Arabidopsis thaliana: one gene and its partner. The protein of the gene in region 2 interacts with the protein of the main gene of each other region in a pairwise test. Each region holds a gene or a part of one and is shown on either strand. Other genes may lie near its edges.

The links.
Region 1: the proteins of NAC016 (region 2) and JAZ3 interact in binary tests that used the Arabidopsis thaliana proteins (3 or more experiments, as listed by UniProt).

What each region holds. Positions count from the first base shown.
Region 1 is NC_003074.8:6,118,101-6,123,809, reverse strand, and holds JAZ3 (jasmonate-zim-domain protein 3), read right to left. Parts: upstream 4,104-5,709; 5' UTR 3,843-4,103; coding exon 3,758-3,842; exon of another isoform or gene 2,728-3,757; coding exon of another isoform or gene 2,682-2,727; coding exon 2,482-2,681; intron 2,222-2,481; coding exon 2,007-2,221; intron 1,932-2,006; coding exon 1,841-1,931; intron 1,760-1,840; coding exon 1,456-1,759; intron 1,359-1,455; coding exon 1,298-1,358; intron 1,222-1,297; coding exon 1,119-1,221; 3' UTR 766-1,118; downstream 1-765. Other genes in the region: TDX (tetraticopeptide domain-containing thioredoxin), read right to left, coding at 11-44, 164-276. UniProt on the Arabidopsis thaliana protein: Repressor of jasmonate responses. Jasmonoyl-isoleucine (JA-Ile) specifically promotes COI1-TIFY6B/JAZ3 interaction. Acts as a negative regulator of MYC2 function. Feed-back regulated by MYC2.
Region 2 is NC_003070.9:12,446,875-12,451,804, reverse strand, and holds NAC016 (NAC domain containing protein 16), read right to left. Parts: upstream 3,080-4,930; coding exon 2,857-3,079; intron 2,597-2,856; coding exon 2,319-2,596; intron 2,243-2,318; coding exon 1,943-2,242; intron 1,837-1,942; coding exon 1,266-1,836; coding exon of another isoform or gene 1,258-1,265; exon of another isoform or gene 1,044-1,257; coding exon 685-1,043; 3' UTR 518-684; downstream 1-517. Other genes in the region: NAC017 (NAC domain containing protein 17), read right to left, coding at 1-76. UniProt on the Arabidopsis thaliana protein: Transcriptional activator activated by proteolytic cleavage through regulated intramembrane proteolysis (RIP).

The DNA of each region.
Region 1 (5,709 bases), on a different chromosome or scaffold from region 2:
GACAACTTACAGTTTTCTCAATCTTCGGAACTTGAGCTCCTAAACTGTACACGATAAGACGGGAACGAGCATCGATTACAAAGAAACTCACAGCTCCATGGAAAAATTCAACTGACAAATGAAATTCACCGAAAGAAAGATAAGTCAGAGAAGAATGAATCACCTTCGGAGATATTCTTTGAAGAAAACCAGACTAGGATCGTGGAGAATCGAAGGATTCAATTTCAACTGCTCGACGAATCTTCTCAGCTCAGCTACTTGAATCGCATCCACCATCGAATTCCGCCTTTTTCTTCTTCTTTCTATGAAAAGCTTAGAAATCAGTGAATCCTTGTGATCGTACGGAGCTGTGTCTGCTCGTATTGGTTTTGATTAGACTGAAAAACGTTGAAATAATCATCGCCGAAAACCGAACATGTCCAACCGGTTTTGTCTTCGCGTTAACTTAACCGCGACTGAATTCATATCCGGTTTATCATCTTTTGCAACATCCCTTTTCGTTGTGCAATAAGACATTGGGCCTTGATGGGCTACAACACAAAATGGCCCACATATTGAAATTAGGATGTTACAAAGAAACTCACAGCCAAAACGAAGACCGAAAAATAATTAGCCAAAACGAATTAAAGCAAATTCTAAAAGATGTTCCATTTTCTCCATATATAATGATGACTTCTTTTGTGAATTCGAGTTGGTAACTGGTAATGTATCAAGCTTATTGTTAACCAGAGTACAAATTAGCAAATCCTATTAAAAAAATCCCCATATTTGAATAGAAAATTGATTAGAGAAATAACTTAGGGAAACAGAAGCGATGCAATTCCATTACATGAATTATACATATGCGAGCTTCAGTGATATATACAAAAGAACAGAGTTAAAAAAAAAGAAACAAACAGTTTCTACTAATTTTCCCAAGTACATATCTGATATGCTCTCATAAGTTCCATTCCACCAAAAAACATGTAAACAAAGTATACACTATCGTATATATAAAGCTAAGGAGAAACTCAGTGTGGCGAGTGAGGAAAAATTAACTGAGACATTGAAAAGACCGCCATTGAAATGCAAATATGGATGTGGAGTGGTCTAAAGCAACCTTCTTACTGTAGATGAAATTAGGTTGCAGAGCTGAGAGAAGAACTAATGCATTCAGACATTGATCTGCGACAATCTGTCGATGACTTCTTGTCTAAGCAATATGGGGATACGCTCGTGACCCTGAGAAACCCACAGCGAGAAAGAGAGTTAGCCCAAGAAACTATTGAATGGTGTATTCTAAAGAAGTGTTGCGTACCTTTCTTTGCGTTTCTCTAAAAACCTAGCCAGGGATGCTTTGCGAGCCAGAGGTAATGCCACTGCATAAGAAACAGAACGAGAATGAAGTTACATCCATGAAAATACTAGTAAGTTAGATGGCGAATGTAGTATCAGGTCTCTGACTTTGTTTTTTACCTGTTGGAGCCATTACATTGGTAGAACAAGAAACTGGTACTGGGCAGTTAATATTGGATCCATTAGCTTGGTTGTTGTGATATGTTGACGTCAAGCCTCTTGTCGCTTTTGTGGCTCCGAGTCCGTTTGTGCTACTTCCAGCTTCAGGGCTAAGATAAGATATTGTAGGCATGAAGCTAGGAGGCATAGCTGAAGAATCGACAGAGGCACGAGTATGATGGACCACTTGTTGATGAGTTTGAGGCGGCGAAAAGACTTGAGGCATAGAGGAACCGTTCCCAGCTAGCAACATTATCGCCTTTGCCTGAGAAATGAAAGAAAGCAAATGAGTACCATACCTTACGAGTAAAAGAGATGCATATATGGAAGAAAATGATTGAGATACCTTTTCAGGAGATATGTCATCGTAAACACAAACTGAACCGGCATAAAAGATCGTCAACTGCGCAGGTGAACCTATTGGCTTGGAAGAAGATCTGACAAAAATAAGTCTTTAGTCAACTATGAAAATGTAGAAAGAGTTTCTGTATGATATGATGACTAGTGGGTACCTAATATCAGTAGTCCCTACAATGGAACCTGGAGGAGGAAGGATTGAAATTGGAGGTGCCATGATAGGAACTCCTACCAAAGGTTGTGAGTTATTGTTATTGTTCATGAAGCTTCTTCCTCCTGGTGCATAATGATGAGACTGGAAACCCGGCATCGACATGGAAACTGCGTTAGTTTCTTCGTGTTGATTGGAATTAGGGAACATCCTCACTCCCTGAGAGTAACAAGCCATAAAGTAGGTGTGAGGCATTGTATGAACTAACTTATCAAAAATGAGAAGCTTAGCTTACACTTAAAATGAATCAGTATTAAACCAAGATTAGATCCACAAACTAATTGCCATGAACTTGTGCTAAACTAGACTCAAAACCAATTACTATATGCTCATAAAACAGGGCTCACTTTTAAAGCTATCTTGCGAAGGATAAAAAAAACACAAGGGTCTTGGTTAACATAGGTTTTGATGACAAATACCTGTACAGAACTGTAAGGAGCTTTGCGGGTTGAATCATAAACATCAGCTACTGATGATGGCATGAAGGAACCAGAGTGAGGAAGATGATAATTTCCAGACTTTCTATGTCTATCTTCTTGAGTTGGCCTGAAGGATAGAAACTGAGAAGAAGAAGCTGATACTTTGTTTGAGAAAGACCAGTTCATTCCTCTGTTGGGAGCTACAAAAGAAAAAGAATAAAAGATAATCAGTTTAAAGTCAAACATGTAGTGTTAACTGTTAACCATAAATGTCTCGAGATCTCCTTACATAAACAACAGAGGATTAATTCAACACCTACTTCAAGGAAAAGATTAGTAACCAACAATGTAGAATCTGATACTGTTGACAAATTCAACGAGGGAAAACCACTTTCGAAAACCGTGTCTAATTCTAAAACATTTGATTGAAAGTCATTGTACGAAACTCCAATAATTTAAGTTTGTTTTAATAGTTTAAATTAAAGAGAGATTCAAACTTTAACCCCACCACACCACACCACATGTTGATGCACTACTTTTATGGTGTGGCACGTTTTGGCTGATAAGAAAACAAAGTTGAAATAATTATATTCCTCGTGGTGAGAAAACTATTATTTCCACATTGTACCTTGAACAATATTCTAACGCAAGTTCCGCTTAATCAACACACAACACAAATACACAATCAATATTTTAATAATCTCATAAACTAATCCAACTCACACAATCAAGAAGTTAATCATCTTATAAACTAATCCAACTCACTCTTTTGAGTATATTTAATCTTTCTACCTACTACCAACCGTCTCTATTTTATCATTTTTGTATCAGTCTCTATACATCCCCTCTTTTCCAACATTTTACGTATTCGTTTTTTTTTTAGTATAAACTAATAAAGTATTTCTCAATTATAAGACTCTTCAAACAAAACAAAAAAATTTACTCTAGTAAAAAAAAGTTTACCGAGTTTAATTATGTTAGAAGCTTGAGATTAGTTCTCGTTAATTTCTCCGACCGAAAGCATGTTTAAGACAAGGCTTTGGAAAAGAACACTAGTTTTTCCAAATCCAAATTCTACATCTCCCGAGAAAAGCAAAGGACAATGTTCTGCTCCAAGCAACAAACTGACAATTCCAGTTCCCGAGCAAGCCATAAAATCAGCTATCCAAAAACAAATTCCATACTACAAGTAGTCCTAATAACTCCTAATCAATCAAACAAATCTACGATTTAAAAACAATCAGAATCAGAAAAATTGAGAAGAGTAATAAATAACCTGAATCTCTAGAGCTTTCGCTGGTTTCCTCCTTGACAGTGATCGGAGAATTTTTCGAACCCAACCCGAGAAAATCTCTCTCCATCTATAATAAAGACACAGCCCGCTACAAAATTAATTCGATCTCAAATGTCTGTTTCGATTAAAACGCGTGTTAAACGCCGGAATCAAGCTAAATAGAGCTTCGCCGGAAAAAGGAAAAAAAACAGAGACTTTTGAGGGAGAAAATGAAAAAACGTGGAATGAAGTTAATTCACCGCAATTTCTAGTTTTATTAACAAATCGCATGCGACATGTGAATCGTACCATTAATTTATAACTATAACAAGAAAAAAAAGATTCTTTTTTCTCATATCCTATTGGCGCAAAAACCAGCTACAGGTTGTCCCGGTTACGTCACCGGATATAGTCGGTTAAAAAGGCACGTGCATCGTCGTGCAGTGTGTGGCGTTTCTTTTTGTGGTGAGACGCGTGGCGAGGCACGTGCGCTATTTTAACGTGAATGATTCACGAGATGCGAAGCGGCAGTTTTAATTTATTTTTTTATTCAATGACAACACTTTTTTTTGTCGGCTGACGCGCTAAGTGTAGCGCGTGAGTCTAACCCCCTTTTTGTCTCACCGCTCAATCTAAAATAGTAAAATTAGTTACACTACTTTCGTGCACGTTCTCTTGACCAAGATAAACATTTGCACGTTGCATTTTTTTGGCAAAATATATTAATTTGTATTTTAGTACTATATTTTTAATCTTTGATTAATCGGATGGTACTATAAAGTAATTGTAAAGATTAGACTTTCATAAAATGATTTAAATACAACAAAATAATTGTTGCGGAAATTTAGTTCCACAACTAAACATTATTAAGCTAAATCTAAATCCTCATGTGATTATGTCATCACTCTAATATTATTTTTTTTAATCCAATTTTTAATTATTTTTTCTGTCATTGTACTTTTATTAATATTTTTCGCGAATTATTAAAGAATGTTGCTTGTTGCTTAAACTATACTTGTATTAATTAAGGTAATTATTGGTACCAAAAAGAAAATATTACTTTAATGTACATATTACTAAAATCACTCGTTGACATCGTTTTTGTGTATTTATAAGATGCATGTGGTCCGGGGGAGGAAATTACGCCATTTCGTGCGTCACTTTCTTCTTAATTTAGTAAAAACTAATACTATACTAAATTTACTAATGTTTTAAAACATATCTAATTATCTCACAAATATAATAATAAAGTTTTCATTTTTTTATGAAAATGAATATTTAAAATTCAAATCTATAGAAAAAATGGAAAGGAGTCAATGATCACAACAACTTGACGATCTCTAAACAAAAAAAAAATTGACGATCATCTCCCACGATAACATCGTTATTTCGAGTCTGGGGGATATGCAGCACACGTCATTTTCTCCAGCCTAGAATTTAGATATTAATATCACATTATTAAGAAAATACTACACTGCAGTTTATTATATACACAACATTCCATATAGATAATAGATCAGATCAGATCAAAAGTGGACCTACAAAGCGAAGATTATATCAAAAGATGCCATAAACGCATCTCTCACGCTATGATCCACATAAAACATCCGAAATTTAATTCTGTTTTTACATCCGACATTTAATTCTTGTTTTCTGTTTTTACATCATTTAATTCTGGTTACCACGACATTTTTTTTGTTTTAATGGTATTAGACTCTATATAGACATACAAAACTCAAAACAAAAGATTCAATGATCACCCCCTACCAAAAAAAGAACAGATTAAATGATCACGAGTTGGCTTAACAACGAAAACTTTTCTCCAACCAAAACCAAACTTAACTATTCTAAATCAAACTCAACAGCAACAGCAACGTCTGTTTACAACAACAACTTAAATAATTTTGTATTAAAATCGAATGAGAGTAAATAATGGCAAAGAGAAAATCAAATGA
Region 2 (4,930 bases):
CAGTTGGATGAAATCGAAACCCTGGAGCACTAAATTTGCCTCCTTTGAAACACGAATCGGGTGAAGAATCCGCCATCTACGTAACAAATCAAAACCGATCCCTCAAAAAAAATTTGAAAATCCCCAGCGACGAAAAAAAACTGATCGGGTCAACGAGGGAGAAAAATCTCTCTCTCAGAAAAACTCAGATCTCTTCTCTCTTCGTCACTCAAGATCCAGAAGAGAAGATGAATCAAACCTACATGACAGTGAGACCAACCGCCGGGAATCTGAACGAATTGATACACCTAGGGTTTGATCGGCGAGAGAGAGAGATAACGAAAATGGAAATTAACGAGAAATGAGACTTTGTGTAGATTGAGGTGATTTTTTGGTTGGCTATTTGATGGTCTCAGCTTTTTCTGCTACTTAGTTTGTGAGAACCTACTGGGCTCGAAATATACTAGCTCAGGCCCATTAATTCGACAGGCCCATTATTGTTATTTTTTTCCAACATTCTTGTCTGACACGACAGAGGTTCAAAAATTCTGCTTAATATGATAAGTGCAAGCAAAATTTCAAAGCCATCAGAGAATCCAGGAAAAAAGAAATCTTTTGTTAAGAATTAAACTCTTTCAAACTCTATACATAATCAAAGATGTGGATCAGGCTAACTTATGCTGAATCAAGATTCAAGAGTCTAGGTCACGACAAGAGAGGTCTTCCCATAACTCCAACGGTGGCTTTGAACACCCAGAAGATAGCACACAAAGCACCCATAATTGATAACAGAAGAAAACCTCTGTTACTGATACGCTTCTTTGCTACAGTGACTTTTCTACTAGTCACTGACGTTCCATTGAACCTGATGCGGCTGAAGCTAGACATACGCACAAAGGTCTGGTTAAGAGGACCCTCACAGGCAGAGGCTGGTGTTGATGGTATTGATTCCAATAATTCCCACAGAGCTGATGAGAACTGGCTCCTTGTTCCACCACCATTTTGTCCTTCCTTGTATTGGGGATTTACACTCATAGTGGGATTCATAGACTCAGGCATCACACCTAAGTAAGTTGGTATTCACAAAGTATCAGTAAAAAAGGCCCTAGGTTATTATGTTTCAAGATCTTAACAAGAGGGTTTGATATCAACAAAAAGAAAACAGAGTATAATATATACATGTCTTGGTTAAATTCAAAAACTAATGCTTCGTGGGAAATATAACTTGGCAGACAACATAAGGGAATGCTCTGAGATGAGGGTGAGTTTAAAGACTTTTTAAGTACCTGTTGACTGTGAAGTGAATGCTCCAGAAGAAGATTGTGGTGGTTGAACATAGAGAGCAGCCTGATCATCTTTAAACCACATATTGTCAGTGAACTGATTAAGAGTGGTACTAGGATGCATGTAGTTATTAAGCTGGTTCTCAGGTGTCTGGTACTGGAACTGTTCATAAAGTAATTGCTGTCTTTGGCCTGATGTGTTATTAGTAAAATTACTCAGACAAGACAGATCTGTAGAAGTTCCCTGAAAAACAGATATGTCATTGAACAATTGGTCGTATTCATTAACATCACCAAATTCACCATGGTTCAAGAACTCTGTGGATTTCTCTGTTGAAGAAGCACCGAGCTCAGGGATCAGAAGATCATTCATTTCAATGTACTCCTCCTTCTCATTATCTAGAAGAGGTGCCATACCAGAGGTAGCCTCAAATGAATTCAAATGGGACTGAAAACTCGAGTCCCTGTTGTATAGCTGGCCATTTGGCAAGAACATTCCATTCGTCCGAGGGTCAATATACTCTCCAGAAGAATTATTCAGCAATGTGCTCTGTATCACTTCTGCACTATTACCCTGCAAATACAAGTATCTATTTAGTGAAGGAAGCACAACAGAATAACCAAAGGACCCAAAAAAGAAAGAAAGCATAAGCCAATATGTTATTAGAGAAGAAACTAACCTGTGGAACACCAACAAACTCATCAAACTGTCTTTGGTTAACCCCGGGTGCATCTGGGATTTCATTGAGAAGCTTCTCAATATCCTCTAACTGAAGTTTGACAGGATTGCAAAATTTAGTATCATCCACACAAGGACCATTCTCATAACGGACCACGGGATAATCCGGTACAGCGACACTATCTGCATCTTCACTATCACTATCAACCCATTCTTCTTCTTGGAACGGAGCACCATACTGTTCACCATTCTTAGGACCAGCCCCACTCTTCTTATAAAGCTTATAAAGAGCATAATACTCCTGAAGGTAAGACAGATTAGTTAAACTACAAATAAATCAAAAAGAGAAACAGATGAGTTTTGGCTATAATACTAACCTTAGCGTTCTTACATCTCCCTAGCTCTTCTTCATCCATAGTGTACTCATGCATCACCCAGTCAGTTCTCTCACCATTAGGAGCACGACCTCTATAGAAAACAAGAGTCTTCTTGAGTCCAACAGATCTTGAATTGTACTCAATGACTCGATCCTTTCCTGTCGCCTTCCAATAACCAGTTGCAGTACCTCTACTTGACCTAGCTGCGTTAGGATACTTCCTATTCCTTGGAGTGAAAAAGAACCACTGTCTATCTCCCGTCTTCAACATCGATAGACCTGTTACATTCACCGTGTTAGAAAACCAATTCCAACATAAATTTGATACTTGCATAACAAATAAACAAATTGGAAACCTAAACATTGTGAAAATGAAATCATATGAGCATAAATGAGGATCGATACGAATTAAATAGTGAATAAAGACGTTTCCTTGTCATATACTCAACAAATCATCAACAACCAAAACTTTTCCTTGTCATATACTCAACTACATCATTAATAACCTAAACTAATTGATCACGATACGTAGAGAAAACATGAATCAAAATCGATAAGAAGGTGTTGAAAATTACCAGGCAATTCAGAAGGATCGACTTTGTAAACATCAACGACACCAATGGCATTGACTCGAAGTTTTTTACAACAGATCTTCCTCTTAAGATAATAAACCACAAGCTCTTCATCAGTAGGGTGAAATCGAAAACCTGGAGCACTAAACTTACCAGCTTTGAAACACGAATCACGAGAAGAATCAACCATCTCGATCGGGGTCAACGAGAAGTAAACCCTTTGAAACAGAACACACAACCTAAAACCCTCTTTCTCTCTTCGCCTCTTAGTGGAGACAACAAGATCAAACTTACATAACAGTGGAAGAAATTCTAGGGTTTTTTGATCGGCGGTAGATAGATTTTGGATAGAGTCAAAAAAATGATTTTGTTTGTGATTATATGTGTCAGCTTTTTTCTGACTAACGAAGTTTCCGAGAATCTTACTGGGCTTTTGGAATTACACGCCCAAAGGGGCCAAACTGATAAATTTTAATATTCGTTAATTTGTTGTTGTTACAAAGGAACTAAATGTTGAATCCACCACTCACTACTATTTTTCAAACTTACAATAAAATAATCGTATAAAATCAAATAAAATAAATTTTGTAGAGTAAAAACTTGTACAATATAAATTTGTAGCATCAATTCACTTCAATAAATTTTATGTGACTGATTACATTTTGTAAGATAACATAATTTACTATTACATTATTCATAATAACTTAATAATATTTGATATATTAGTTAGTATTTGATAAAGGTATTGAAAGTATATAAATAGTGCTTAGAAGTTATGAAAGTCTTAATATTATTGTAGAAAGTAACATATTTTTCATTATAAGATTTTTTTTTTTTTTTTTACAATTGTTAATATATTTTCCAACCGAAAAAATTAAAAAATCCCATAATAGAGTGCAATTCTTGCAGCTCCCATGAAGAGAGTGAATAATCCAAAGACGGGAAGAGTAAGCTTTGAAGACGAGATAGCTATATAGGACCGAATATCGGCAAACGATCTATTCGATTAATGGAATGAACAACCTATGCATATAGAACTTTATTCTTATTCTAAACAAAAACTAGGAGACAAACAAAAAAGGACAAAAATTACAAGACATCTAAACCTAAATGTGGCAAAAACATATGGATTTATTTAGTTATGAAGACTCACAAATCTATAAGATCAAGGATGAGAAAAAAGAAAAATCGACATGTGAATCAACGTTCTCTATGCAGTTGTAGAAGATGTTTTAATTTTCACCTCTTGTCATGTGGAAAATTCTCGAAAAATCCATGAAGAACTCGTTCAATTCTCCAGAGAGCTTTTGTGAGGGATTCTGATCACTGGTAAACAACATTAGAGAAGGATTCATCCCAAAATGAGGAGTTATTCGACAACTAGTAATAAGCATCCAAGCAAACACGCTAAAAAAAAATTAATCTTAATTACAAACAATGGAAAACAAAAAGAGAAATAAACAACATCGTCGAAATCAAAAGATTCTGGACACTAAGAACTAATTAAAACAATAGAGAAATTATCAGATTAAGCCAAAAAGATAGTAGCATGAACAAAGATAGAATATATATAGTTATAGATATATATTAATTCAATAGAATCAATATTTACGAGGTTTCCACTTTCCATCTAATCGAGTCAAAATTAATAATAACCTATAACCCTAATTACTTTTTGTAAAACTCATTAAACAACTGTTGGGCTTCTTTGACCGTGGAGTTTTAGTAGGTTCTTAATTTCCCAAAATACATTAATTTCTTGCGTGTAATATGGTAGCTTTATTATGTATATCTTTTGGTGACTTAATAAGGTCTTAATTCTCTATAAATACATGCTTATTGTATACATCAACTACACATCAAATTAAAAAATTACTCTGTGATTGGTAGCCGGATCTAGAGAAAAATAGTCTGCCTGGTATTTTAATCCCTAATTTAAATTTTTTCACTCAAATCATATACGATTTTTAAAATAGTTTAATAGTTTGTAGTAATTTCTTCTCATTTGTGATGGAAAGATATAATTTTCTATTACAAAAAT